Linked DNA regions of Anolis sagrei. The protein of the gene in region 4 purifies or fractionates together with the protein of the main gene of each other region. This does not show direct contact. Links are inferred from orthologs where the notes say so. Each region holds a gene or a part of one and is shown on either strand. Other genes may lie near its edges.

The links.
Region 1: the proteins of ACTL6A (region 4) and BRD8 fractionate together in Homo sapiens (co-fractionation; 4 studies listed by BioGRID and IntAct, with this or other methods). This does not show direct contact. The link is inferred for Anolis sagrei from reciprocal best matches to the Homo sapiens genes ACTL6A and BRD8.
Region 2: the proteins of ACTL6A (region 4) and SMARCC2 purify together in Homo sapiens (affinity purification with mass spectrometry; 8 studies listed by BioGRID and IntAct, counting the BioPlex papers as one, with this or other methods). This does not show direct contact. The link is inferred for Anolis sagrei from reciprocal best matches to the Homo sapiens genes ACTL6A and SMARCC2.
Region 3: the proteins of ACTL6A (region 4) and ARID1B purify together in Homo sapiens (affinity purification with mass spectrometry; 5 studies listed by BioGRID and IntAct, with this or other methods). This does not show direct contact. The link is inferred for Anolis sagrei from reciprocal best matches to the Homo sapiens genes ACTL6A and ARID1B.

Annotation. Positions count from the first base shown.
Region 1 is NC_090022.1:76,370,950-76,378,944, reverse strand, and holds the start of BRD8 (bromodomain-containing protein 8), read left to right. Parts: upstream 1-4,994; 5' UTR 4,995-5,045; coding exon 5,046-5,064; exon of another isoform or gene 5,065-5,074; intron 5,075-6,902; coding exon 6,903-6,999; intron 7,000-7,995. Other genes in the region: NHP2 (H/ACA ribonucleoprotein complex subunit 2), read right to left, coding at 1,364-1,489, 2,568-2,673, 4,267-4,336, 4,680-4,848. UniProt on the Homo sapiens protein: May act as a coactivator during transcriptional activation by hormone-activated nuclear receptors (NR). Isoform 2 stimulates transcriptional activation by AR/DHTR, ESR1/NR3A1, RXRA/NR2B1 and THRB/ERBA2.
Region 2 is NC_090022.1:138,276,654-138,284,116, reverse strand, and holds the start of SMARCC2 (SWI/SNF complex subunit SMARCC2), read left to right. Parts: upstream 1-4,462; 5' UTR 4,463-4,550; coding exon 4,551-4,661; intron 4,662-7,463. UniProt on the Homo sapiens protein: Involved in transcriptional activation and repression of select genes by chromatin remodeling (alteration of DNA-nucleosome topology).
Region 3 is NC_090021.1:69,803,437-69,811,276, reverse strand, and holds the start of ARID1B (AT-rich interactive domain-containing protein 1B), read left to right. Parts: upstream 1-4,839; 5' UTR 4,840-5,463; coding exon 5,464-7,047; intron 7,048-7,840. UniProt on the Homo sapiens protein: Involved in transcriptional activation and repression of select genes by chromatin remodeling (alteration of DNA-nucleosome topology).
Region 4 is NC_090023.1:257,609,253-257,616,446, forward strand, and holds the start of ACTL6A (actin-like protein 6A), read left to right. Parts: upstream 1-4,180; 5' UTR 4,181-4,277; coding exon 4,278-4,302; intron 4,303-6,856; coding exon 6,857-6,933; intron 6,934-7,194. Other genes in the region: NIFK (MKI67 FHA domain-interacting nucleolar phosphoprotein), read right to left, coding at 2,070-2,204.

The DNA.
Region 1 (7,995 bases), on a different chromosome or scaffold from region 4:
AACCCAGCCACAGAAACCCTCTAGAGATCACCCATACAGTATCTCCTTCCATTTTATTATGTAGTGATTGATAGCACTAATTCTCAACATTTCATTGTCCAACTCCTTAGTAATGGCCAGGGCTTCCAAGAGCTGAAATCTAAATCATCTTGGGAATCCAAGATTAAGAACAAAAAAATCTAGATTACAAACTGAAACAGAAATTTCATTTCATTGTGGAAGTAGCAAGTCATAGTTTTGAACTCAGACTTAGTTGAAACTGCAGAACTGAGGAAATCTACCCCTAGGAAGGGAAATTCAACCCTGAAAGAGTTATCATGGGGAGGGGAAAGGTATCTCTACTGAAGCGTTGTCATCAATCCTTATTTCCACAACCAAAAATTGTCAAAATCCAATTGTCATGGGGACAACGTGAGGTGAAGCCTTCTGCACAGGGATGCAGACAGCAAAATAAACGTGTTAACCCTTCCCTATACTATTCAAAACTAAACAAAAATTGGCTGGAGTTAACTTTAAAAATGTACCTGTTCTGACTTGCATACAAATTCAGTTTAAGAACAATTTTTTTGTAAGCTGGAGGGGGAGCACCAATAGCCAGAGTTGCCACCCCCTCCTGAGATGTGGAGCTGCTGTGTGAATGCGCATATGCATTCACACAGCAGCCCAGACTAAAAAGGAAGTAGACAGTACATTAACTGCACTCATCTTCTCCTTCCTCTTGAGGCACAGGGATCTATTGATGTGCACACAGCAGTCCTAGGCATGGCGGGGGGGGGGGGTGTCTGTGATTGCTAGTCCTTCCTCCCCCCACCCAAAAAAAAGCATAAGGCAGCTGGGTGAGTGTACCTGTTGTGGGGCACATTTTTCATACCTCAGCTCCAATAGTCTGGGAAGCCCTCTAAGAATGTTTGTCCTGCCCCCACTGTAGTCACAGTTTCCCCACCTTCAGTGTTCCTAAGTCCCCAGCTCCATATTAAATATGCAAAGGCTGCATAAAAACAAGATGGATACCTTATCAACTGCATGTATAGGCCAAGACAGCCAGTAAAAGAATGTTCCATGCATATAGGATGTTTTAGAAAATATTTTACTGCATTTATATCAAATAAGAATGCCTTTACAGCTCGATATATCCACATAGGCAGTAGATTATATTGCAAAATAAATCACATTTTGTAAAAAACACACTTCATAAGTCAGTTAAAACAGAAAAGAGTTGTTGGACTGCAGACGGTATTAGCTGCAGTACTCTATTCAAGGCAAGTTCTCCTGTCCAAATGTTCCAAATCTGTGTAGCTATTACTCAACTGGAATGAACCTAAATGAAAATTTAAATCAGTCCATGAACATATTTTGTTGATGTTCACAATGGGAGTGGAAGGGCTTCGACCTCCTCAAAACACTCATCGTAGGCTTCCTGATATTCTTCATGAGATTTAATCAAGATAACACAAGTTGGACGTTTTGAACCTGCAGCTGCTCCTAAATCCTGAGAAAAGAAAACAAATATTTGTCTAGTTTACAAATGATTTAACAGATACATAGCTCCACTGTCACAATTTACATAAACATGTCCCATAAGTCAAGATGAACTGATCCATTGTTTTTGAGCATGACAAATCAATCCCACCACATCAAAAAGATGACAATTTTCAAAAGCCTCATAAAACCTGCAATGTGGCACTTATTTCAGAATACAAAATGATTTTCCTGTGTTATAGAAATTGTAATTGACTGTCAGTAATTGACATTATTAAAACTGTTACAAAGCTATAACATGATCCTGTATAGCAGGGAGACTCAATCTAAGACTTTCTATATGAAAGTGGTTGTATCCTGCTTTGACCTCTTTAACACAGGAATCCCTTACATCAGCCCCTGCATTCAAACCTGGTTCAGTCAATGTGGACAGCCTGGATCACAAAATTTAAGGTTGCAGATAAAGGCAAATTATCTCTTTCAGAATCTGGACACCATATTTAAGATTCTATTAAGTAGAACTTCAAAGACATTCATTATATATGCCCGCAACTCACCCTCAATAGCATTACAAATTACTGAACTGAATGCAAATACAGGCAGCCCCCAAGTTATGAACAAAATAGGTTCTGTCGGTTTGTCCTTAAGTTGAGTTTGTATGTAAGTCAGAACAAATAATATTTTTCAGTGTAATTCCAGCCAAAAATAAGTAATTTTTAGCTTTGGATAACATAGGGAAGGGTGAACACCCCTGTGGTATTTGTTTTGCTGTCTGTTCCCCTGTTCAGAAGATTTAACCTCACCCTCTGTCCTTGTAACAATTGGATTTTGATAAACCCGTCTTGTGGTAAAAAGGATTGGTGGGAAAGTTTCAGTGGAGACAACTTTCCCACATGATAACTCTTCCAGGAGTGAATTTCCCTTCTGAGGGGTAGATTTCTCTCACTTCCTGTTGTCTCGCCCCCGTTCTTAACCCAGTCAGATGTTTGTAACTCGGGGACCGCCTGTAGCTTCCCAACTTGCATTCAGTTCCCATAAGACATACAAATAAGAAGGCCCCCTTCCCTGTTCCTCCTCTAAATCATTACCGTTTTGGAGGGGATGTAGACATATGGAAGATTCCGGTCTTCACACATGATGGGGATATGGCAGTAAACATCAATAGGCAGTGTGTCTCCTGCAAGAACTGTGATCCTAAGAGAAACAGGCAGGATACCATTTAAAAAAGGACTAGACATTGCTCCTTAATGAAGTGGGAGAACAACAAAGCTACTGTTAATCCCTCTTCATAATATAAAGTTGCAATACTGTTGATAGTTGTAAGCCTCCTCAATCTCAGCAGAATTTCTGAGTAAATTCTGCTCTCTGCAGCTGCTTTACAAACCAATTCTCTGCTACCTAATTTTTAAATATTTGTAGTGTGGTCAGTATTCACATAAATTGGATTCGACTTAAGAGACTCGTACTCTCACACAGACAGAATGTGAGAAATAAAAAAGGCAAATAGGTCAGTGTGAGGCACTGAGGTTAACATTATGCAGATCCAAATGAAAACAATGCTGCTGTTATATGACTTCTGGCTTCATCATGGCTTCATCATCATTGTGGCCTCCTAAAGTTTGCATTTTTGACACATGGGCACATTTTAGTTTCCCACATGACACAGAAATACAAGGTGTTTCTAAAAGAAGGACGTGATCTGAAATGGCTATCTCTCTGCAACCACAAACCACTCATAAATGAAACTTACCCTTTGGAAGGATGAGGCATAGAACTTCAAAGAATTACAAACAGCCTTTAGCCTCAGTCATTTGCAAGATGGTGACCCACATAAGGACTAATGAGATATTTTCCATTTGAGGAGTTAATTTTTAGGTTTGTTTCTGGCTCAAAATAGTAAAAATGATAACTCATTAAACCATTTGTAACTTTTTGTGTAACTATAAGATGTTACCATGGTGAAATACACTGCTTTCAAACTGTGTCCATCATTTTGAAACACCCTGTAATTCACTCATAACAATCAGGAACACTACAAAGAGAGGACTTAGTTCCAAGATCTGCAGCGGATGACTGAACTGAAGTCAGCCATACTGTGTCAAACTTGACACAGGAAACTCTGAGGGAAGCAAATCATTCAAGGAACAATATCGCAGATTCCTGCATAGGCAGAATACCTACTGATACCCAAAATGGTGGTTTGTGGGCTGGTGCAGGTCAGTAATCTACTGGCCGCTGGTGCATGTTGTTTCCAAGAAGGAAATACTGTAGTTATAGTTAATGAGCACAAGTGTGCTTATCTCTGGCTTTCTGGGGAGCAGGGGGGCAGTTGTCCCCCATATTAGATAGCTTAAGAAGCACTAAAAAAGACAAATGCTCTAAAGGAATTAAGCGCGAGGCACCTGTGATCATTCCAATATTAATTTAATTACTTCATTTTTATACTGCCTTTCCCCTGGTATGAGAATTAAAGGCAGCTAACTGCAAACATGACATTACACCTGGGACAAGAAATAGTTTATGCTTAGTGAAATGGAATTTGCTCCGTCAGAGGGGCGGAGTCTTTTTCCCTCAGAGGGGTGGAATCTTTTTAAGCAGAGGCTGGATGGCCATCCGACAAGTGCTTTGTTTGGATGTTTCTGCATGGACTAGATGGCCCTTGGGGTTTCTTCCAACCCCATGGCTGTGTTACTTTCTTTTCTGGCAAAGGAGGGGCTGGCATCTGTGAGTAGCGCACCGGGTGGTCCTTGGGGAGTCTTCTATCGCAAATCATGTTAAGATTCTTACCCCTTCTCGCCTTTGTTAATGAACTTCTGGACCTCTTTCACTCCACGCCGAATCTGTTTTACCTTCGATGCTGCAAGTAGAAGGGGAGAGAGAATATGTATGTGGGAAGCCACCAACCCAGCAAGGAGGCTTGAAAGGGAGCCCTCTGAAGACCCCCATCCCCTCTCTCCAGGAGTGCTGCCCCTAAAACCTCCCCTTTTCCCAAAGGTGCACCTACACTGCAGAGTTAATGCAGTTTGACCTAGGCCAGGCATGGGCAAACTTGGGCCCTCCAGATGTTTTGGACTTCAACTCCTACAATTCCTAACAGCCTCAGGCCCTTTCCTTTTCACCCTCAGCCGCTTAAGCTGAGGACCCAAGTTTGCCCATGCCTGAGTACAGTAGATGCAGGCCCAACCCCTTCCTTCCTGCACCTTTCTTGATGCACTTGTAGAGCTTCCGCGTGAGCTTGCGGGAGGCCAGGGGCCGCGCGATGGCGTTGACGTTCTCCACCAGCTCGTGGTAGGAGCGCTCCGGGGTGGCCTCAGTCTCCGGCGCCGCCTGCTCCTCCTCGGCCTCCTGGCGCTTGCTGGCCCGGCCCATGCCTGCTTCTCCGCCGGGAAGGAGCCACGCGCCTCTCCCGCACTGTCGCGCTTCCGGCTCAGACCAAACACGTGCCGGGAAGGGAAAGCAAGGCGTCGGCCAATAAGAACGCGGCTTTGAGGAGGAAGCACCGCCCACCGCTCTATGGCATAGCTCGCGGCCCCTTTCCCGGCACGCACCGGGCGTGCGTCGGAAAGATGGCCGCCGGGACGGGTAGTGAGTGGGGGTCTGTCTTTTGAGGAGAGGGTGGAGGAAGGAAATAAGGCGAGCGGGCGGCGGGTGACAGGGTGCCTGCGTTTTTTTAACAGCTTCCATAAAATTACCAGGTCTTGGGTTGCTGTAAGTTTTTCGGGCTGTATGGCCATGTTGCAGAAGCATTCTCTCCTGACGTTTCGCCTGCCTCTATGGCAGGCATCCTCAGAGGTTGTGAGAGGCGAAACGTCAGGAGTGAATGATTCTGGGACATGGGCATACAGCCCGAAAAACTTACAGCGACCCATGATTCCGGCCATGAAACCCTTCGACAACACATTTACCAGGCTTCCCCCCCCCCCCCCCCCTTTCCTCCATGTAGGGAAAAACATATCTTCTTATTTATTTCGTGTCGCTTCTGCAAGCCCCTTCTGGTGGATTGGCTGTCTGCAAAGATGATGCCCTGATGTTTTGATGTTTCGCAATCCTTGTGGGAGGCTTCTCTCATGTCCCTGCATGGGGAGCTGGAGCTGACAGGGGTAGCTCATCCGCGCTCTCCTCGGATTCAAACCTTCAGCCCTGCCGGCACAAGGGTTCAACCCTTTGCACCACTGAGGGCTCCTCAAGTTGCTCCTGACACAGAAAAAAATGTGTCAAAAGAATTGCATAAATAAATTATAAAACTGATAAAATAGAGGGAACACAACCAGCTAAATAATTTTTGGCCAAAAAAGGGCAACAGCGACCACATTGTGTTGTCAAAGGCTTTCATGGCTAGAATCGCTGGTTTGCTGTGAGTTTTCCAGGCTGTATGGTCATGTTCCAGAAGCATTCTGACGTTTTGCACACATCTATGGCAGGCATCCTCAGAGGTTGTAAGGTCTGTTCGAAACTAGGCAAGTGGGATTTATGTGGAACTCTTGTCTGCTTGAGGCAGGTGTAAATGTTGTAATTGGCTACCTTAATTCACATTTTAATTTCCTTGCAGCTTGAGAGTCTGGCTTTGGAATGGCCAGCCTCCCACTCTGGACATGCCATAAGTATATAAACTCCACTTGCCTAGTTTCCAACAGACCTCACAACCTCTGAGGATGCCTGCCATAAATGTGGGTGAAACATCAGGAGAGAATGCATCTGGAACATGGCCATATAGGCCAAAAAACTCACAGCAACCCAGCATTGTCTAGCTTTAAACAGTTCTTTCTCTGTGCATGAAGCAGGGCATTGTGGGCACACATACAGCTGCAGAGTCTTTTGTTCTGCTCCGCAGTCGCAGATTCTTCCACCTTGTGCGACTGACAACCATTTTGCCAGGTTGTCTTTTGATCTGCACAGTCCACTTCTGAGTCTGTTTAGGGACTTCCAAGTTGCTCATTTTTGGTTTGCCCCTGGAGGAAGACCTTCATGGGGGGCTATCCAATTGGAATTTCCTGGTTTAGCTGCCCAGAGGGGATTCCCTTGCTATTGCTGGGGGGGGGGGGGAGTGGAGGACATTAAGAGGAGTGGTGGTTCTCATGAAAAGCATTGCTTTTTTAAAACAACATATCTGCTGCCACACACCTTTTCAGGGCATTCATAGGGCTGAGAACTATAACCTAGCAGCATACTACTACTGCAGTCTCTTGAACAGGCATGGGCAAACTTGGGCCCTCCAAGTGTTTTGGGAGTTGAAGTCCAAAACACCTGAAGGGCCCAAGTTTGCCCATGCTGCTCTTGAGGCTTACTTAAATAGGAGTATTGATTGAGATTGGCGGCTGCACGGACAAAGTTAGGTTTATTTTGAGGTGCTGTCACAAAAGGATCTGTGGGCAGGTTGCAACATTGCAGTGTTTATCTCTTCTCTTTCTCTCTCTGACTTCCAGAGCACAAGTTGCTGAATGTCGGGCCCACAGAGCCATGGTCCATCCGGGAGAAACTGTGCTTGGCCTCCTCTGTCATGCGAAGTGGGGACCAGAACTGGTATGAGATGCATGCTGATTATTGTTGTTATTATTTATAGCTAACGTTCCTTAATTGAGGCAATGCAGTTTAAAGTCTACAACATATAAATATTAAAGTAGTCTTGAACATAGAATCGCTATAAATTTAAATAACTAAAATCTATTAAAATACCTAGGGGCTAGTTGCCCCACCCCACCCCCGCCCAAGGATTGGCCTTTAAAATGTTCTTTAAAAACCTGCCTGAAAAGAGAGGTTTTAGCCTGCCACCAAAACAAAAGGACAGCAGGGAGGGGCCGATCAGGTTTCTCTAGGAAGAAGGGGAGCTCCAGAGTTGAGGCAGCCAGAGCTGATAGAAGGCCTTCTCCTGAAGATCTTAGGGCCTGGGCAGGTTCATACTAGGAGATGTAATTTGCCAAAACTTGCTGCTAAGTCCTGGGCATTGTAATTTCAATTAACAATATTATCTGTTCTTTGAACAAAATTCTGAATTAATTTGTTGTAGTTCTTAATTACCAAGTACAAGTCAAGCATTCCCTATCTTAAATGCTTGGGATTAGAAGGGGAGTTGGATTTGAAGTTTTTTTTCCAGATTTTGGAATATGTATGTACCCATATTTACTCAAGTCTAAGGTACCATCGAATCTAATGTTTACCTCAATTTTCAAACACCTAAAAACAAAAAAATTGCTAACGATTGCAATGCATAGCAGCAAAAGATACACACTTTTTGTACTATGCCCATTACAGTTACTCCCTGCTTAGAATTCCTTCTGTAAAAACTATTAAATAAGAACACCAAAGCTCTCAGCAATGGAAAAGAAACAGTGGAGTGCATCTATGTTGTGGAATGAATCCACTTTAACGTCTATAGTTCAGTGCTATGGAATCATGGGGGCTGTAGTTTTTAAAAGCCTTGAGCCTTCTCTGCCAAAGAATGCTGATGCCTCATCAAACTACAAATTCCAGGATTACATAGCATTGAGCTTTGACAATTAAATTATAGATGACACCCCT
Region 2 (7,463 bases), on a different chromosome or scaffold from region 4:
CATTCGCCCTCAGTCGCCTGTGTCTTTCCCAGAGAACTGTACTTGAGCCTTCCTCATGGTTGTGGCCTCCCTCAAGTCACTAGTTATGGGAACTGAGGGATCTCATGTGAAGGAAGGCCTCCAGAACAGGTGCAGAGTTCCATCAACTGACGCTTTGTAAAGAATCCAACTGACTAAATTTAACCGGGCAACTTGGGCCCTCCCTCCAGCTGTTTTGGACTTTCACCATTCCCAACAGCCTCAGGCCCTTTCCCCCCCTCAGCCGCTTAAACTTAAGGAAGGGGTCAACCAGCCAAGGCCCATCCTCTGTTTGGATATCAGCCAACATGCCAACACTTTAAATCAGGAAGTAGTTTTGTAAGATCATATTTGCAGGAACATCTCAGCAAGCAAGAGTCCAAAAGTGTCAGCCAAAAACCCGGAACCTCAAGCCATGGCTGATACCAAATGAGAGACTCCCCCCTGGGCACACAGAAAACTGGGCGACTTGGACTACCTGCGTGACCACATTTCTGTGTATGAACCCACACGATCTCTTCATTCATCTGGAGAGGCCTTCCTTGCGCTCCCACATCTATCGCAGGCGCGACGTGGGGACAAGGGAGAGGGCTTTCTCAGTGGTGGCCCCTCGACTCTGGAATTCACTTCCCAAGGACATCAGGCATGCCCCAACTCTGGCAGTCTTTAGGAGGAGCCTGAAAACGTGGTTGTTCCAGTGTGCCTTCCCAGAATAATGAATTCTCAGCATTGTGCCCTCCAAATGCACTTTACATTGATTTAGGATTGTTGTACGCTCCCACTAACGCCCCATCTCTCCTACCTTATTCATGCCTAGCATTATTTTTAACTTTAATTACATTTGGCCCAGCCATACATTGTAATTGTGTGTTGTATTATTGTCATTGTATATTGCTTTTTTGTTATGAGTTTTATTTAATCTGTTTTACTGTTGTTGTTATTGCTTATATTGATGTATTGTGGGCTCGGCCTCATGTAAGCCGCATCAAGTCCCTTGGGGAGATGGTAGCGGGGTATAAATAAAGTTTAATAATAATAATAATAATAATAATAATAATAATAAAAGGCGCTGAACAGACTGCGCTCTGGCACCACGAGATGCAGAGCCAATCTTAAGAAATGGGGCCACAATGTGGACTCCACAACATGAGGGTGTGGAGAAGAACAAACCACAGACCACCTACCACAATGCAGCTTGAGCCCTGTCATATGCACAATGGAGGACCTTCTTATAGCAACACCACAGGCACTCCCAAGTGGCCAGCTACTGGTCAAAGAACATTTAGTATAATGCTAAGTTTTTAACTTTGTGGCTTTAAATACATTACGACTGTACCCTCAGTTCGCTTCTGATACAATATAAATAATATAAATAAAGATTATTATTAATATTATTTGATACATAACAAGATTAGTACACAGAAAACAAGATCACTGTGCTATCTTTTGTATTTTATCACATGTTGGACACTTCCCAAGTGTCTAGGACTATGTGATGTATTGGCGACTAATATGTGCAGATCCAAGAAGGGGTGGCCTTTTGTAGTTGACAGATGGTAATTTTGTCAGTGCCGTTTGTTTTTAAGTGCAGGCCAAGGTCTTTGTTGTTGTTGTTGTTGTTGTTATTTTATTACCACACAGCAAACAAGATCACTATGCTGGCTTTTGTATTGGATCACACTTTGGACACTTTCCAAGCGTCTAGGACTATGTGATGTATCGGTTAGTAATCCGTGCTTATCCAAGTAGGGTGGCTTTTTGCAGCTGACAGATGATAATTTTGTCAGCGCCTATTGTTTTTAAGTGCAGGCCAAGATCTTTAGGCACTGCACCCCAGTGTGCCAATCACCACTGGGACCACCTTTACTGGCTTGTGCCAGAGTCTTTGCAGTTTGATCTTTATATCCTCACATTATTATTATTATTATTCTTTTACTGACACAAAAACACAGTATGACACAGCAAACGAAATATATATGCTGGATTTCGTATCACAAAATCACAAGTCAAACACTTCCCAAGCGCCTAGGACTGTGTGATGTATTTTTGAATGATGCGCGCAGATTCAAGTAAGGTGGCTGATTGCATTTTATGGTTTGTCCATTTGGCATCTCTATGCCCTCATTGTGAGTAATTTTCCCTTTCTTTAATGCCATTGTGGCACATTTGTCTAGGCCAAACTCCATACTGATGTCAGTGTTGAAGATTCTGACTGTGTTGGTCAATGACTTGATTTCAGTTTTTGATTTTCCGTAAAGCTTTAGATCAGTGGTTCTCAACCTGTGGGTCCCCAGGTGTTTTGGCCTACAACTCTCAGAAATCCCAGGCAATTTACCAGCTGTTAGGATTTCTGAAGGCCAAAACATCTGGGGACCCACAGGTTGAAAACCACTGATTTAGATCATCCATGTACAGCAAGTGAGAGATTTTTGGTGAATTTCTTGCTGTTTGGTAGCCTATGTTTGTTTTCTGTAGAATTACTGACAGTGGGATAATTGCAATGATGAACAGCAGTGGTGACAGTGAGTAACCTTGGAAAATTCCTCTCTTGATGTTAATAGTTCCATAGCTTTCGCTGCCCACAAACAACTCCATTTTCCATTGTTTCATTGCATTTTCAGTGAACTTTCTAATATTTTCACAAACCCCGATGACATCTAGAAATTTGATAATCCAACAATGTGTCAGTGAGTCAAATGCTTTTTTGTAATCAATCCAAGTTGTATAGTAATTATTATTATTATTATTATTATTACTTTACTTAGGCGATCCCTCATATCTGAGGATGATGGTCCTCCAAGTTCGGTGTCCTGGTGGTGGGTTCGTAGGTGACTGGAGCCCTATTCTTGATCTGCATCTTCTTCCACAGTGACGGCATTGGTTTCCAGGTTGAAGGTGGTCTCGGATGGGCCTTCCTCTTGGCACATTTTCTCACCCTCCATTCGTGCCTCTTCAAATTCTGCAGCACTGCAGGTCACAGCTGACCTCCAGCTGAAGCGCTCAAGGGCCAGGGCTTCCCAGTTCTCAGTGTCTATGCCAGAGTTTTTGAGGTTGGCTTTGAGCCCATCTTTTATTTATTTATTTATTTATTTACAGTTCTTATATTCCGCCCTTCTCACCCCGCAGGGGACTCAGGGCGGATTACAGTCAACACATATATGGCAAACATTCAATGCCAGTTTGACAAACAACATTTAACACACAAATACACCAAGGCTATTTAACTTTTTTCTGGCCGCCAGGGGAGCTGCTGCTTTTCATCGTCCATCAACAACACCGATGAAGTTCTTCCGCATTCCACATTCCCCGGAGTCTTCTTTCTTTATGGCCTCATAAATTAGTTAAATTTAGCCTCCCACACAAGGTGGTCCCTTATTTTCCTACTTGACAGATGCAACTGTCTTTCGGGTTGCAAAGGTCGACAATGGGCTACACAATGGCTGGACACCCACTCCAGCCCGGGCTGGCTTCGAACTCATGACCTTTTGGTCAGAGTGATCTTAATGCAGCTGACACTCAGCCAGCTGCGCCACAATCCCGGTGCTTTAAATCTCTTTTCCTGTCCACCAACGTTCCGTTTCCCGTTCTTGAGTTCGGAGTAGAGCAACAGCTTTGGGAGATGGTGGTCGGGCATTCGGACAACATGGCTGGTCCAGTGGAGTTGATGGCGGAGGACCATTGCTTCAATGCTGTTGGTCTTTGCTTCTTCCAGCACGCTGACATTTGTCCGCCTGTCTTCTCAAGAGATTTGCAGGATTTTCCGGAGGCAGTGCTGATCGTTCCAGGAGTTGCATGTGACGTCTGTAGACAGTCCACGTTTCACAGGCATATAGCAGAGTTGGGAGGACAATAGCTTTATAGACAAGCACCTTGGTATCCCTACGGATGTCCCGGTCCTCAAACACTCTCTGCTTAATTCGGAAAAATGCTGCACTCGCAGAGCTCAGGCAGTGTTGTATTTCGGTGTCAGTGTTGATTTTGGTAGAGAGGTGGCTGCCAAGGTAGCGGAAATGATCTAATGTTACACCATTAAGCTGTATCGCTGGCATTGGAGAGGGGTTGGCTGGTGTCTGCTGGAACAGGACTTTGGTTTTCTTGATGTTCAATGACAGGTCGAGCTTCTTGTATGCTTCTGCGGAGGTGTTCAGAGTGGCTTGTAGATCTTCTGAATGCGCACAGACAACGTTGTCATCAGCATACTGGGGGGGGGGGTCACCAAATACAACTCCCTATATTCCACAGCATTGAGCTATGATAATGCTGACGCCTTTCCACCGCTAGAAGGCGCTCAGGCTAGTTCAGGCGAGCCTGCGCCTCGGGGCCAGCAGGGGTCGCTGTGCTCGAGGGCCGCGCCTGGGCGAAGGAAGGAGGGAGGGAGGGAGAGAAGGCCTGGGCGCGCGCTGGCGCGGTGGGCGCGCGGTGGGGCCTGTGCCGGCAGAGGGCGCTGCGGGGCTGCTGCTCCTTCGGCCGAAGAGGCGTCCAGAGACGAAGGCGGCGCGGCCCAGGCCGGCGGCGGCGCTGCTGCTGCGAAAATGGCGGTGCGGAAGAAGGACGGCGGCCCCAACGTCAAGTACTACGAGGCCTCCGACACTGTCAGCCAGTTCGACAGCGCGCGGGTCTGGCTGGGCAAGAACTACAAGAAGGTAGGCCCGGGCCTGGGCCTGCCGGACTGCCATCGGAGAGGCCTTTCGGGGCTTCTCCGCCCCGGATCACGGCCGGCCTGCTAGCAGAATGGGAAGAGAGAGGGACTGGAGATCTTAAGGAAAGGGGGAAGAGGAAGGGAGGGAGGTGATGGGCATCGGAGGGGCACCGGGCCCCCTCCCCACCCTGCCTTCCATGGGGACGGAGGGAGAGAGGGAGGGAAGGAGGGGATCCTTAAAACTGCACGTCTTACATCAAAGTCTCTCCCTTGGCCCCACGAGCAGCACCTCCATTTATTATTCCTACTCCCTTTCCATCAGGAATCAGCCCTCTTTGGATCACCAGCACCTCCTAGAAAACAGATCCCCCCTTTTTTCTTGAGAAATGGCCATAATCTCAATTGCAGGGTGGCAGGCACGTTTCTTTGACATCTTCGCGCCTGGTGCCCTATTGTCCTTTGCCCCAAGATCAAGCCCTTCTTATTCTCCCATTCATTAGTTCCCACCCTTCTCTACAGATCCCTTCAGGACCTGACACGGAAACTTTCATTCATTGAGGCGTTTACTTGACCTTGCATTTTTTGTTTTTGATTTTAGTGCAGGGTGGGTCAAAAGTCACAAAGAGGTCCTGCATCCTGTACGTGATGCAGGGGTATTGGATTGCCATTTATGAGATTGGATTTTTCACACGTCATGTACATTTATTTATGAGATTCCATTTATGAGATTGAATTTTTCTTGTGTAATGTATATATAAATTAAATATATGCACACAGCGGGTTAAACTGCTGAACTTGCTGACCGAAAGGTCGGTGGTTTGAATCCAGAGAGTGGAGTAAGCTCCTGCTGTTAGCCCCAGCTTCTGCCAACCTAGCATTTCAAAAGCATGCAAATGTGAGTAGATCTGTAGATACCCCTTCAGTGGGAAGGTAATGGCGCTTCATGCAGTCATGCTGGCCACATGGCATTGAAGGTGTCTATGGACAACACTGACTCTTCAGCTTACAAATAGAGATAAGCACCACCCCATAGAGTTGGACACGACTAGACTTAATGCCAAGGGGAAATGTTTACCTTTACCTATCATCATATATGTTATTGTATATTAAAAACAAAACATAAAGGAGCAATAAAGTATTGAAACCCTTTCATGACTTTTGGCCCACCCAGTACCTTCAAATTGCTTTTCGTTCTCCTGGAGCAGCCTCAGTCCCTTTCCTTCCTGCTGGAGATGTGCTCTTTGGCAAGCAGAAAACTTAGCAGTTTTGCAATTTTGAAATGGGATGTGCTGGTTTATTCCCTTATGAGAGATGTTTCAATAACCTCTTTTGGGCATCCAACCTTGCTTTCATTTATTTGTTCTAATGTCAACAGAAATCAGAAATGCATTGTGTATTACAGTTTACAAATGGGGTTGTATTGGAAATGTGTCTGCTGTTTTCTGCCAACAAGTGTCATTGGATGTTGAATCAATGTATTTCTCAATCTCCCTTGTGTCGGCAAGTCTGCTGACCAAAAGGTCAGCAGTTCAAGTCTGGGGAGCAGGATGAGCTCCATCTGTCAGCCCCAGCTTCCCATGCAGGGACATGAGAGAAGCCTCCTACAGGATGGTAAAACATCCGGGCATCTCCGGGCAACATCCTTGCAGATGGCCAATTCTCTCACACCAGAAGCGACTTGCAGTTTCTCAAGTCACTCCTGACACGAAAAAAAAATCTCTGTAATTTGTTAAGAGGAGCCAAAGGCCCAGAAGCTGATGTGAAAGCTGTTTTTAATTCCCCCTATAGACATGCACTTCTCCATAGAGGAGATGGGGACTTGGGTGGCTAGGTTCTGTGTTATGGGGCCCACACAGCCTTTTCAGTTGCTGTCACACGAAGAAGCATGGTCCAGCAAGTTTCCTCTCTTAAATGCTTTGCACTTTGACAGCTGCTTCCGTTCCACATGCTGCTGCCCAGGACTTGATTCCCAGGCTCTTACCTTTGACCTTTCAAGTGAGAGAGAGAGAGAGAGAGAGAGCGCATGCCTCAGTCCCCAGACAATTCATTGTGTTTGGAATGACAGCTTCTGACCCCATGCTCACCACTTCCCTGCTAGCAAGTTTGAATCTCTTGTCAACTGCCCTAGTTATTTGCACCAAAACTCAAGGCTGAATCTGCACTACTACATAATACAGTTTGAAATGCATTGCGTGGTTAGTGTAGACCCATACAGTGCAGTTTGAACTGCATTGATCTGCATTATATGGGTCTGTATTGACCATATCATGCAGTTAAAACTGTATTATGTAGTAGTGTAGATCTAGCTCAAGATGGAGTCCCTTTGTAGACCCTGTGCTATTACAGCGAGCAACTTTTCCTGTTTTGATGGTGTTTCCAGACAAATTAAAAAGGAAGTTTAAATGAGGGCTATTTAGGGTAGTGGGTTTCTTTCCATGGTTGCTCCTCCCCATGCTTGAGTTAAGGAGCCCTGTTCTGGCAAGACTGCTGACTGAAAGGTCAGCGGTTTGAATCTGAGGAGCGGGGCGAGCTCCCATCTGTCAGCACCAGCTTCCCATGGGAGTCATGAGAGAAGCCTCCCACAGGATGGTAAAACATATGCACTTATCATAGGCAACATCCTTGCAGACGGCCAGTTCTCTCACACCCGAAGCGACTTGCAGTTTCTCAAGTAGCTCCTGATACTAATAAAAAACTCTTCCATTATTGTTATGGACACAAGTGGGACCCATTTACTAGTTATGCATGAAAAAAATAAACCTCTCTAAGAAAGATGATGGTCTATGTTGATTATAATGCTATACAG
Region 3 (7,840 bases), on a different chromosome or scaffold from region 4:
ATAGCTTCTCACATGGACAATTATATGTTGCACGTTCTAGAGTTGGAAAACCACACAATCTCTATCTCTGCACAGAAAATGGAACAACAAAAAATATTGCATACTCACAAGCATTGTGAAATTAAATATATTAGTAACCTGCTCTTTCTCTTCTCTTCCTTTTCCTTTTAACCAGACTGGGCCACAGCAACACATGGCTGGGGACAACTACTTTATGATAAAAGTATCATTTACCTACTTCTAACATATGCTTGAATGTACTATAAATATTGTGTTGGATTATTTTACTTCCTAGTTTATTTAATAGATTGTGGTATTAGTATGACGCCTGTATCCATAATGAATATGCTCCTGGACTTCATCTGGATACATGAAACAGTGGGAAGATAGCAAATCTCATTTAAATTAAGGACTTCCCATCCAAGAATATAATACTAATGAAACTTTATATCTCACCGCATCTCTCAGTATGGAACTCAGAGCAGCTGAGAACATAAAAGGCAAATATTCAATGCCAACAAGTACATACATACAGACATAATTTAATGAATAGCATTATAGGGTATAGGGTTACAGCCTGTGCTTGATGAGGTTACACTCCCGAAGGCACAGGTTTCCAGTTTGGGAGTGATCCTGGACTCATTGCTGAGCCTGGAACCCCAGGTTTCAGCGGTGGCCAGGGGAGCTTTCACACAATTAAAACTTGTGCGCCTACTGCGCCCATATCTTGGGAGGTCAGACTTGATCACGGTGGTCCACGCTTCGGTTACATCCCAAATAGACTACTGCAATGCACTGTACGTGGGGTTGACTCTGAAGACTGTTTGGAAGCTTCAGTTAGTCTATCACTTGGAACCCAAGTTGCTCATGGGATGGGGTACCGAGAGCTCACATGCCCTTGCTACGCCAGCTCCACTGGCTGCCTATTAGCTTCTGAGCACAAAAGTGCTGGCTTTGGCCTATAAAGCCCTTAACGGTTCTGGCCCAGTTTACCTGTCCGAACGTATCTCCTGCTACGAGTCATCTAGGACCTTAAGATAGTCAGGGCAGGCCCTGCTCTGTCCCCCCACCATCACAATCACACTTGGTGGGGACGAGAGACAGGGCCTTCTCCATGGTGGTCCCTTGGGTAAGGAATTTCCTCCCAAACGAAATCAGATCTGCTCCATCTCTCCTGTCCTTCTGAAAAAAAGTGAAATCCTGGCTGTGGGATCGGGCCTTTGCTGACTAGACTGACTGGCGAAGTTATGGTTTTAATGGACTATGATGGACTGTTTTTAGGATTATCACTGAATTCGTTATTGTACTTAATATTTTTATATTGTTTTTATACTGTTTTATTATATTATGTATATTTATGCTTTTCTTGAAGGAGCTGGGAGTGGTGACAACCGACAGGGAGCTCTGGCGTGGGCTGGTCCATGAAGGCACGAAGAGTCGGAAACAACTGAACGAATGAATAACAAATGCTTTTCTTATTGTGGGCACTATGCTGTGCCGGTTGTTACCTGCCCTGAGTCCCTCTGTGGAGGTGAGATAGGAAGGGATATAAATGCCCTAAAACAAACAAACAAATAAATAAAATACCTAACCACGATGACATGCTGGAGGACCAAGAAAATGGCTAGAAAGGACATATGGTATTTTGTTAAATGTGGATAAATTAAACAGCAGATATTAGTCCCACACATATGGGGGTTCTACTGTATTCTTAGTCTCTCTTACACACATACACACAATTTTTATAAAAATATTTGCACGTGGGGAAATAGCAGAGACTATGATACTGCAGTTATTAAAATGCATCCTCACATACTCTTTAAAGCAATGCTGCTAACATGAAATGGACAATAATATTTCTGAGGGTAAAGTTCCAGATGAACATTGTTTTCAAGGGATGCCAGTTAATGAGGGCTTTTTAGTCAAATAGCTGTCTTGTTTTTAAATCAATGTATCAGTTAATTAATGGACTAAACCTTTGAGTACATCAACATAGTTGATATTTGAGAGTTTGTGTAGTTTATCTTCATCAAATGGTACATTTCACAAGTCTGATTCTGTGCGAATTCCATTTGTGTGGTTAGTGCATGGTGTGCTACTTGGGTAGAACAATTTGATGGAATAGCCTGTTAGTCTTCCAAATAAACATTTTAGGACTGATTCAATCATTTTAACAGAACTTACACTTAATAAGAGTAGTGGTGGGGTACGTAGTTAATGTGCAAAGGGTTTAGAGTTCAGTCTGTAACATTTCTAGACAGAGGTCAGAAAGAACTGAGAGAATTGCTGTCAGTCAGCATTGGCCACCTTGATTAGCACTGAATGGGCTTGCAGCTTCAAAGCCTGGCTGGTTGCTGCCTGGGGGAATTCTTTGTTGAGACGTTAGCTGGCCCCAATGGTTTCCTGTATGGAATTCCCTCACAACCTCTGAGGATGCCTGCCACAGATGTGAGCCAAACATCAGGAGAGAATGCTTCTGGAACATGGCCATACAGCCCGGAAAACTCACAGCAACGCAGTGATTCTGGCCATGAAAGCCTTTGACAACACATGTGTGGAAAGTTTGTATCATAAATCTGTGCTTTTGGTATGAAATACGTAGATTCTTATGCAGCACACTTTTCTTTTAATGTTTAATATGTTTTCTTTGTGCTTGAAAGATATTAATTTAAACACATTAAAAGATCCTGATATTTTATGGGTGAGCAGATGGCAACTAGTAGATGGCATATGTTCTGTATCTGAAAAAACTAAAGCTGATAGGGGAGAACGGGTGCCATTTTTGGAACCAGCAGGTGAAATACACCCAGAAACAGGACTAACATTGGAGATACTAAAATGTGTGTTGGGCACTGTCATCTTTTGCTTATGAGTTTTTCTAATCTTATGTATTTTAATATATGTGTGTTTTGCTGGTCTTTTTAATCTATGCCTTTTAACCGTGTGGTATCCTGCACATAATGAGAATAAAGGTATTTTTCTCACGTCCACCTAAATGGCTTCAAAGTATGGTTTCTTTAAAATGTGATCGTGTGATTGATGCAGAGGACCCTTTCAGGCCATTCCAAAAACTAACACTGATAGGTCAGTTTAGTGTATTGGTGCTTTGGAAGTGTGTGAAAAGGAGCTCAATGGACACAAATGGTCGAGGTGTAATATTGAGAAGGAATAAAAAGAAAGTGACACACAATACAAAACAGTTGTAAAGCCTGTGTTGCTGAAGGCTTTTTGTCACTGGGTTGCTGTGAGTTTTCTGGGCAGTATGGCCATGTCCCAGAAGCATTCTCTCCTGATATTTCACCTACATCTGTGGCAGGCATTCTCAGAGGTTGTGAGGTCTGCTGGAAACTAGGAAAATGGGGTTTATATATCTGTGGAATGCCCGGGGGGGGGGGGGGGGAGAACTCTTGTCTGTTTAAGGCAAGTGTGAATGTTGCAATTGGCCTTCTCGATTAGCATGTAATAGCTTTGCAGCTTCAAAGCCTAGCTGCTTCCTGCCTGGTGGAATCCTTTGTTGGGAGGTGATTAGCTGGTCCTGATTGTTTCCTATCTGTTTTCAGAGAGTTGCACTTTATTTACTGTCTTTATTTTGAGTTTTTAAAATACTGGTAGCCAGACTTTGTTCATAGTTACCTCTTTTTTGTTAAAATTGTCCACATGCTTGTGGATTTCAATGGCTTCTCTGTGTAGTCTGACATGGGACTTTTCCATGCAGCCCTATATCCCAGAATATCAAGACAAAAAATCCCACAGTATCTGCTTTGAGCTGGAATAGATGGCAGTGCAGACTCAGATTACCCAGTTAAAAGCAGATATTGTGTGATTTTCTGTCTTGATATTCTGGGATATAGGGCTGTGTGGAAGGTCCCCAAGTCCACACTGCCATATATTCTGATCCAAAGCAGATAATGTGGAATTTTATTCATCTATGTCAGGAGTCCCCAAACTAAGGCCCAAGGGCTGGATATGGCCCTCCAAGGTTATTTACCCGGCCCTCGATCAGGGTCAACCTAACTCTGAAATGACTTGAAAGCACACAACAATCCTATCTCATCAGCCAAAAGCAGACCCACACTTCCCATTGAAATACTCATAAGTTTATATTTGTTAAACTTGTTCTTCATTTTAGTTAAGGTAAAGGTAAAGGTTTTGCCCTGACATTAAGTCCAGTCGTGTCTGACTCTGGGGTGTGGTGCTCATCTCCATTTCTAAGCCGAAGAGCCGGCGTTGTCCATAGACACCTCCAAGGTCATGTGGCCAGCATGACTGCAAGGAGCGCCGTTACCTTCCTGCCAGAGTGGTACATATTGATCTACTCACATTTGCATGTTTTCAAACTGCTAGGTTGGCAGAAGCTGGGGCTGACGGGTGTGGTGCTCATCTCTATTTCTAAGCCGAAGAGCCGGCGTTGTCCATAGACACCTCCAAGGTCATGTGGCTGGCATGACTGCATGGAGCGCCGTTACCTTCCCACTGGTGCGGTACCTAATGAACCACTCACATTTGCCTGTTTTCAAACTGCTAGTTGTCAGATGCTGGGGCTGACAGCAGAAGCTCACTCCGCTCCCCGGATTTGAACCTGTGACCTTTCAATCAACAAGCTCAGCAGCTCAGTGCTTTAACCCACTGCGCCATTTTAATTATTGCATTGTTTTTAAGTGTTTTTTGCACTACAAATAAGATATATGCAGTGTGCATAGGAATTCTTCTTTTTTTTCATATTATAATCCGGCCCTCCAACAGTTTGCGGGACTGACCTGGCCCTCTGTTTAAAAAGGGGACCCTTCCCTGTTCTATGTGGAAGGGTCTAAAAGCCTCATGTTTCCTCGTTTCTGCCGAGCTCAGCGCTAGAGGCCAGGCGGGCTTTCCCTTCCTCTCCTCCTCCTCCTCCGCAGAATCCGGGATCGGAATCCACTCCGCGTTTTCCATGCGGCCCAGTCTCTCAGCAGAAGTGGATCGTAGTGGTTGGAGCTCCTTTTCTCTCTCTCTCTCTCTGTCCTTCCTGCCATGCACGCTGGGCCAGATCGGCGCAGCCAGACGTGTATTTAGTTATATTTACCCATATCCGGGTTCAAAGCGGGGAAAGAAAGACAGAAAGAGAAAGAAAGAGAGAGAGAGAGAAAGGAAGGAAGGAGAGAGAAAGGAAGAAAAGAGAGAGAAAGAAAGGAAAAGTTTTATTGACTCCCCCTCAAAACCCCCTCCCAAAATAACTTTCCTCGTGAGAGCCCACCACGGGCGTCCTTAATTAAGCAAGGACTCAGCCAAGGAGGGGAGTTGAACTCAATATGGAATAACCAATCTATTATTTTGGGTTTTTTTTGGGTGGGTTGGCAAACAATCCGGCGTCCCACTTATTGTGGGGTTTGTGTTTCCCTCTCCTCTTGGGGTTTCCCCCTTTTTCTTTCTTTTTTGCGTCCTTATTTATGACTATTTCCTCCCGGAGTGAGCCATGTTGCCTTGATCATGGCCGCGCAAGTGGCGGCGAGGGAGAACAACCGAGGCAGCAAGAGCCCCTCTTTGCCGGGAAACAACACCAGCAGCAGCAACAGCAGCAGCTTAAGCCAGGACTCTCTGGGCGCAGATGGGACGAACAGCAACAACAAGAGCGGAGGCTTAAACAACGTGGAGCTCCACCAGCACCACCACCACCTCCTCCACCGCCGCCTCCACCATCATGAGCTGAGCGCGGCCAATAATGCAACTCCTTCTCCTCCTTCGAATCACAACGCAAGCAACATCATCGGCGGTGGCGGCTCTTCTCCCTCGGAGGCGCTTCTCAAAGAGTCTCCCGGCTTGTTCGCGGCGATGGAGGCCGGCCTGGCGCCCAACCACAAGCTGAAAGGCGTCGGGGGCGACCACCTCCACGCTCACGCGGCCTCGCTGCCCTTCCAGCTCCGGCAGGCCTTGCACAGGAGCCCCTTCCAACCGCAGCAGCAGCAGCAGCAGCAACAGAGTCACAACAGCAACGGCGGAGGCGCTGCTCAGCCTGGCAGCGCAGACATGGAGCCGCCTCAAGAGCAGCAACATGGAGGCCACGAAGGCGCTTTGGGGGCCCCCAACCAGGCCGGGGCGGCCACGGGGAAGGCGGCGAGGGCCTTGAAGAAAGGAGGGGAGGAAGCAGACGCGGAGAAAATGGGACCAGGAGGAGGAGGAGGAGGAAGTAGTAGTAGTGGTGGCAATAGTGGAGGCCCCTCCGCCGCCTCGGAGTTTAATAGCTATTACAGCGGGAGCAACAACAACAACGGCAACAGCGCCTCCTCTTCTTCCTCCTCCTCCTCTTCCTCCTCCTCCTCCGCCAGCCGGGCCGGGCCTTGCTTTGATCAACATGGCGGACAACAAAGCCCCGGGATGGGGCTAATGCTCCCCGCGGCAACGGCAACGGCGGCAGCAGGAGTAACAGGGGGGCCTCTCAGCATGGAGCCCGCGCCCCACTCCCACGACGCCTTCGCCCACGGGCACTACAACCACTACGCCTACGGGAGGCCTGGAGCTGGAGCAGGAGGAAGCGGAGGAGGAGGAGGAAGCAGCTATGGGAACAGCCCGTCCTCGGCCTTCGGGGTGCTGGGCTCCCCCAGGCAGCTCCCTCCGCAGGGCATGATGCTGGGCCCAAGCGGAGGAGGAGGAGGAGGAGGCGGCAGTAAGGGCTTCCAGCGCTTCCCGGGCCCGGCGCAGCAGCAGCAGCAGCAGCACCCCTCGGGAGCCACGCCGACCTTGAACCAGCTCCTGACTTCGCCCAGCCCCATGATGCGGAGCTACGGGGGCAGCAGCGGGTACCCCGAGTACGGGCACCCGGCCCCGGCGGCCCCGCAGCCCCAGCCCCCCTCCACCCAAGCCGCCGCCGCCGCCGCCTCTTCTTCCGCCTCTTCTTCTTCTTCCTCCTCCTCCTCGGCGGGGCTGGCGGGCAAGGACGGGGGCCCGTTCGGGGCCAGCAGCGCCAACGCCAGCCCGGCCTGGCCCCCCGCCGCCGCGCCACAGCGGGGACACCCGGCCATGAGCCCCGGGGCCAGCACCGCCGCCGCCGCCGCACAGGCCCTCGGCAGGAGCCAGGTAAGCATTCCCCGCCGCCTCTCCCTCCTTCCTTCTTCCCCTTTTGACTTTCCACGCCTGGCTTAGCGAGGGACACTGTCTCAGCCTCTTTCAGGCCACAGAGAGCTGGGCTGGGCTGGCTCCCTTCGTGGAAAACAAGAGCTTTTTGTGTGAGGCAAGACTTGCACCACCTCTCCACCCAGACACACGCTCAGGGCCCTGTGGAAACACAGCCCCATATCCCAGAATATCGAGGCAGAAAGTCCCACATTATTTCCACAGCCCCACAGCTTTGTGTGTGGCAACCCTTGCACCATATACCTACGCAGACCCACACTCAGGGCCCTTCCACGCTGCCCTATATCCCAGAATATCAAGGCAGAAAGTCCCACATTATTTCCACAGCCCCACAGCTTTGTGTGTGTAGCAGCCCATGCGCCACATACCCACCTAGACCCACACTCTGGATCCTTCCACACAGCCCTATATCCCAGAATATTGAGGCAGAAAGTCCCATATCATTTCCACAGCCCCACAGCTTTGTGTGTGTGGCAACCCTTGCACCACATACCTACCCAGACTCACACTTGGGGTCTTTCCACAGCCCCACAGCTTTGTGTGTGTGGCAACCCTTGCACCATATACCTACCCAGACTCACACTCTGGGCCCTTCCACGCTGCCCTATATCCTAGAATACCAAGGCAGAAAGTCCCACATTATTTCCACAGCCCCACAGCTTTGGGTGTGTAGCAGCCCATGCGCCACATACCTACCTAGACCCACACTCTGGATCCTTCCACACAGCCCTATATC
Region 4 (7,194 bases):
TTGTTGGAATCTGTCCTGAATCCCCTTGGGGAGATAAGAGTTTTATTATTATTATTATTATTATTTGAAACACAACAAGATGAGCTCACAGCAGACAAGATCACTCTGCTGGCTGTTGTATTGGATCACACATCGGACACTTCCCAAGTGTCTAGGATTGTGTGATATATTGGCGAATAATGTGTGCAGATCCCAGTAAGGTGACATTCTGCAGCTAGCAGATGGTAATTTTGTCAGTGTCGATTGTGTTTAAATGCATGCCAAGGTCTTTAGGCACTGCACCCAGTGTGCCAATCACCACTGGAACCACCTTTACTGGTTTGTACCAGAGTCTTTGCAGTTCGATCTTTAAATCCTCATATCGTGTCAGTTTTTCCAGTTGTTTCTCTTCAATCCTGCTGTCACATCGACAATCCGTACTTTGTTTTTTAACATGATCGTGAGGTCAGAAGTATTGTGCTCCAAAACTCTGTCTGTCTGAATTTGGAAGTTCCAGAGTAGTTTGACATGTTCATTTTCTGTAACTTTTTTCCAGATTATGATTCCACCAGTTCTTTGTTGCAGGCAAATGGTATTTGTGGTATTATTATTATTATTTAATCTGCTAAAGATTGCTGGTGCCTTGCCAAACTACAACTCTCATGAGCCACGGCTCTTAATGTGGGCAAGTCAATGAGATGTGGAAAAAAATATATTAATGTATGAAAACGAATTCAAGAGGACTAATAAGGACAGGGCTAACACATAAATATATCTGTTTATCCTTCCAATGAATTATGCTGGGGGAAATGGAAGGAAAAAGGAAGAGGGGTCGACCAAGGGCAAGATGGATGGATGGTATCCTTGAAGTGACTGGACTGACCTTGAATGAGCTGGGGGTGGTGACGACCGACAGGGAGCTCTGGCATGGACTGGTCCATGAAGTCACGAAGAGTCAGAAACAACGTAACGAATGAACAACAACAGCCTTCCAATAATCAGCATAGCACCCCTAATATCTGGGCCCCCCTGGTGGTGCAGCAGATTAAACCGCCAAGCTGCTGAACTTGCTGACCAAAAGGTTGGCAGTTTGAATGCGGGTGAGCTTCTGCTGTTAGCCCCAGCTTTTGCCAAGCTAGCAGTTCAAAAAGATGCAAATTGCACCACAATTCAAGAGAGATATTGACAAACTGGGATGTGTCCAGAGGAGGGCGACTAAAATGATCAAGGGTCTGAAGAACAAGCCCTATGAGGAGCAGCTTAAAGAGCTGGGCATGTTTAGCCTGAAGAAGAGAAGGCTGAGATGAGACATGATAATAATGTATAAATACGTGAGAAGAAGTCACAGGGATGAGGGAGCAAGCTTGTTTTCTGCATCCTTGGACACTAGGACGTGAAACAATGGCTTCAAACTACGAGAGGAGATTCCATCTGAACATGAGGAAGAACTTCCTGACTGTGAGAGCTGTTCAGCAGTGGAACTCTCTGCCCCGGAGTGTGGTGGAGGCTCCTTCTTTGGAAGCTTTTAAACAGAGGCTGGATGGCCATCTGTCAGGGGTGCTTTGAATGCAATATTCCTGCTTCTTGGCAGGGGGTTGGACTGGATGGCCCATGAGGTCTCTTCCAACTCTTTGATTCTATAGCAGATCAATAGGTAGCATTTCAGTGGGAAGGCAATGGCACTCCATGCAGTCATGCTGGCCGCATGACCTTGGAGGTGTCTACGGACGACGCCGGCTCTTCAGCTTAGAAATGGAGATGAGCACAAACCCCAAGAGTCAGACACTATAATGTCAGGGGAAACCTTTGCCTTTACCTATTTATTTGTCGTGTCAGATCAACCAGTCAATTATATTACATTTCTAACAGAACAAAGCAAACAGACAAAATACAATACCTTTACCTTACCTACCCCTAATAGCTGCTAAACTGTACATGGGTTTGGGTCAACTTGGGCCCTTTAGGTGTTCTGGACTCCAACTACCGGCTGTTAGGAATTGTAGGAGTTGGGAGTCCCAAACACCTGCGCATGCGCAGTGCAGCGGCACCCTAAGAGACTCTGGTGGCGCTTCCCCCTCCTTCTCTCTCACCTTGCCTTTCCGCACGCGCTGCACCTCAGCCTGGAACTCTTGCTGTCGGTCCAGGTCCAAGGAAAGGAGCGGGGCCGCCTGTCTGGCCTTGGCTTTCGCCTTCGCCGCGGAAGAGCCTTCTGTTACCGCCGCCATGGCGCCTCCGCAGCAGGAAAAGGGGCCGCCTCTGCCTCACACGGCGTGTGGCTGCCAAGAAACGGAAGCCTCCTCTCGTCACTTCCGCTTGGCTGGCTTGGTGCCACAGTAGGAACAAGGACGGCAGAACAGCGGCCCCTGCTGGCTGGGGGCGGAAGTACTGGATGAGGAGTGACTCCAGTGATATTCACAAATGCAAAGACAGCCAGACCTCCATATCCTCGCATTCTATATAATATAATATAATATAATATAATATAATATAATATAATATAATATAATATAATATAATATAATATAATATAATATAATATAATATAATAATCATCATTGTATATCATAGGATATACGTGTGTGTGTGTTTAAATTTGGGTCCCATATACATTTCTCTCTCTCTCTCTCTCTCTCTCTCTCTGAAGAGCAACCTTTGATTTTGCCATTTTACAGAAAGGTCAACATTTTACTATGTTGTTGGGCCCTGTTCCATTATCATCACTGTATATCACATGAGATATGTATGAACTTGGATCCTATATATATATATATATAATCATAGAATCAAAAAGTTGATCATACAGTATTGGATAATCAAGAAAGGTATTTTATGCAAGGCTGCACTTAGAATCAAAGACTTGGAAGAGACCTCATGGGCCATCCGGTCCAACCCTCTGCCAAGAAGCAGGAATATTGCATTCAAATCACCCCCGACAAATGGCCATCCAGCCTATGATTAAAAGCTTCCAAAGAAGGAGCCTCTACTACACTCCAGGGCAGAGAGTTCCACTGCTGAACAGCTCTCACAGTCAGGAAGTTCTTCCTCATTTTCAGATTGAATCTCCTCTCTTGTAGTTTGAAGCCATTGTTCCGTTGCGTCCTAGTCTCCAAGGAAGCAGGAAACAAGCTTGCTCCCTCCTCCCTGTGGCTTCCTCTCACATATTTATACATGGCTATCATATCTCCTCTCAGCCTTCTCTTCTTCAGGCTAAACATGCCCAGCTCCTTAAGCCGCTTCTCATAGGGCTTGGCTAGTGTATGTATGTATGTATATATATATATATATATATATATATATATATATATATATATATATATACTAGCCATCCCCTGCCATGCGTTGCTGTGGCCCACATGGGGGTTCTGTGTGGGCGGTTTGGCCCAATTCTATTGTTGGTGGGATTCAGAAGGCACTGTGATTGTAGATGAACTATAAATCCCAGCAACTACAACTCCCAAATGTCAAGATTCTGTTTTCCCCAAACTCCACCAGTGTTCACATTTGGTTATATTGAGTATTCTTGTAGAGTTTGGTCCAGATCCATCATTGTTTGAGTCCACAGTGCTCTATGGATGTAGGTGAACTACAACTCCCAAACTCAAGGTCAATGTCCAGCAAACCCTTCCAATATTTTCTGTTGGTCATGGGAGTTCTGTGTACCAAGTTTGGTTCAATTCCATTGTTGGTGGAGTTCAGAATGCTCTTTGATTGTAGGTGAACTATAAATCCCAGCAACTACAACTCCCAAATGACAAAATCATAATTTTTTGAGTGATGGTCACTCCTTGTGTTGTGAGACGTTTTGTTGCCAAATTTGGTGTGATTTCATTCATTGGTTCTTTTGTATATATATAGATAGATATAGAAGATAGATAGATTAATTAATTAATTAATAAATTAAATAAAAATATTAATAAAAATAAATTAAAATAATTAAAATAAAAAATAAAACAGATTAAACTCCCAAGCAAAACATGCAGAAATCCAATGCTCTCCCTTGACTAGACTTTTCCCTCTGTGCTGATCTTCCCACCAAAACTACTACAAGGCAACCAAACTTGAATCTTCTCCTCCCATTGGAGGGACACAAACCCTATGATACCTACTAGGCAAAACGAAAGCCAATCAGGAGAGCCCTTTGCAGTTGGCTCCTCCAGCGATAGGCGGGCTTTGGAACAGCGGCGGGCTGCCGATTGGTGGAGAGAGGGAGAGGAGGCGGGCCTTAGCGAGGTAGAACGGGAGAAAGGGATCCCGCCGCGCGCTGTGAAGAGAAGCAGAGCGGAGCCTCGGTTGCAGCCATGAGCGGCGGGGTCTACGGAGGAGGTGAGCGGAGGGCTTGGCGCATGCGCGAGATGGGAAAGCCAGGCGGGGCTGCGGCGCCTTTAAGACCGAAGGGAAGGGGACTCTCCTTTGAATGACTCTGGAGTGGAAAGCAGGCTAGACTCTCTGAAGTTGCAGCTAGACCAGGCCTGGGCCAACTTGGGCCCTCCAGGGGTTTTGGACTACAACTCCCACAATTCCTAACAGCCGGTAGGCTGTTAGGAATTGTGGGAGTTGTAGTCCAAAACCCCTGGAGGGCCCAAGTTGGCCCAGGCCTGCCTGATCAGAAATACAAGCTGATGGCTTTGCTGACATCTTCCAAACTAGCTCTCACTCCTTGATGGATTGTCACTTTGTTGTGTTTGGAGACTTGTTAGGAGACTTGTTGTGGTTAGGAGACTTGTGTCTTCCAGGCCTCTGTAACTTCAATGTATTTTGCCCATAAACTTACTTATTTATTTGTTTATTTATTTATGATATTTCTACCCCGCCTTTCTCGAATCCGAAGGTGACTCAAGGCGGCTTTTCAACATCAATCCAGACAAGACAGAGGTCCTCCTGGTCAGACGCAAGGCCAAACAGGGCATAGGGTTACACTCCCCCTTTTATTTTGTCGTGTCAGGAGCGACACAAGAGACTGCAAGTCGCTTCTGGTGTGAGAGAATTGGCCGTCTGCAAGGGTGTTGCCCAGGGGACGCCCAGATGGTGCAGGTTTGCAGCTTGGGAGTCATCCTGGATTCATCGTTGAGCCTGGAACACCAGGTTTCGGCGGTGACCAGGAGAGCTTTTCCCGTACCTTGGGAAGTCTGACTTGGCCACGGTGGTCCAAGATCTACAAGCCACTCTAAATACCTTTGCAGAAGCGTACACGAAACTTGGCCCGTCACTGAACATCGAGAAAACCAAAGTGCTGTTCTAGCAGTCACCAGCCATCCCCTCTCCAATGCCAGAGATACAATGGTGCAACATTAGAAAATGTTGACCATTTCCGCTACCTTGGCAGCCACCTCTCCACCAAAGTCAACATCGACACCGAAATACAACACCACCTGAGCTCTATGAGTGCAGCATTTTCCCGAATGAAGCAGAGAGTGTTTGAGAACCAGGACATCCGTAGGGATACCAAGGTGATTGTCTATAAAGCTATTGTCCTCCCAACCCTGCTATATGCCTGTGAGACGTGGACTGTCTACAGACGTCACATGCAACTCCTGGGAAGACAAGCAGACAAACGTCAGTGTGCTGGAAGAAGCAAAGACCACCAGCATTGAAGTGATGGTCCTCTGCCATCAACTCTGCTGGACCGGCTACGTTGTCTGGATGCCTGACCACCGTCTCCCAAGGCAGTTGCTGTACTCTGAACTTAAGAATAGAAAACGGAACGTTGATGGACAGGAAAAGAGATTTAAAGATGGGCTCAAAGCCAACCTTAAAAACTGTGGCATAGACACCGAGAACTGGAAAGACCTGTCCCTTGACCGCTCCAGCTGGAGGTCAGCTGTGACCAGCAGTGCTGCAGAATTTGAAGAGGCAGGAATGGGGGGCGAAAGAGAGAAACGTGCCAGGAGAAAGGTGCGTCAAGCCAACCCCGACCAAGACCGCCTTCCACCTGGAAACCAATGCCCTCACTGCGGGAGAAGATGCAGATCAAGAATTGGGCTCCACAGTCACCTATGGACCCACCAGAATACTGAGCCTGGAAGACTATCCTACTCGGCAGCCAGTGGAGATGGTGTAACAAGGGCGTTGTGCACTGCCTGTACCCAGCCCCAGTGAGCAACCTGGCTACTGAACGTTGGACTAGTTGAGGCTTCCGGGCAGTCTTCCGGGTTGCCTCTGAAGACTGCCCGGAAACTGCAATAAGTCCAACGCTCGGCAGCCAGGCTACGGACAGGAGCGGGGTACAGGGAGCACACAACTCCTCTGTTGCGCCAGCTCCACAGGCTGTCAATTACCTTCCAAGCACAATTCAAAGTGCTGGTTTTAACCTACAAAACCAGATACGGTTTCGGTCCAGTTTACCTGTCCGAACGTATTCTCCCCTATGAACCATCAAGGCTGTTAAGATCTTCCAGAGGGGCTCTGCTCTCAGTTCCACCACTTTTGCAATTGTGTCTGGTGGGGACGAGAGACCGGGCCTTTTCCATGGTGGCCCCTCGGCTATGGAACTCTCTCCCAAATGAGATTAGATCTGCCCCCTCTCTCCTTACCTTCAGGAAGCTAGTGAAATCCTGGCTATGGATTGAAGCTTTCCCAGAATAATGGCTGAGACCGGCAACAGACTAAAGTTATTGACATATGCGGACTAAGTTGGACATGATTTTACCTTGGTGAACTGGCTTATATGTATTTTACTTTATATGTATTTTAATCTACTGTTGTATGATGTTTTAAACTGTGTTGTGGCATTGTGAGCCGGTCTGAGTCCCTCTGTGGAGGTTGAGAAGATCGGGATATAAAAGTTTTGAATAAATAATAAATAAATAAACTTATTTGCCTCATAAGATTTTGTTTTTGTTTAATCAAAGTTATCCAGAGTCTATATTTGTGTTTGCAGATGAAGTTGGAGCTCTGGTCTTTGATATCGGGTCTTACACTGTGAGAGCTGGCTATGCTGGAGAAGACTGCCCAAAGGTAAGAACAAAAGTGGGCTGTTATTACCTGGTAACAATGGCATCGTCTACACTGCCATATAATCAAAGCAGATTATCTGGATTTTATATGGCAGTGTAGTAAGAGCCATCGTTTCGTGCCAGAAATACAGTTTAATGGTGTAACATTAGAAAATGTATTGCCGTATTCCTGAAGAATTCTCAGAGGTGATGAGGTCTGTTGGAAACTAGACAAGTGAGGTTTAAATATCTGTGGAATGTCCACGGTGGGAGAAAGAGCTTT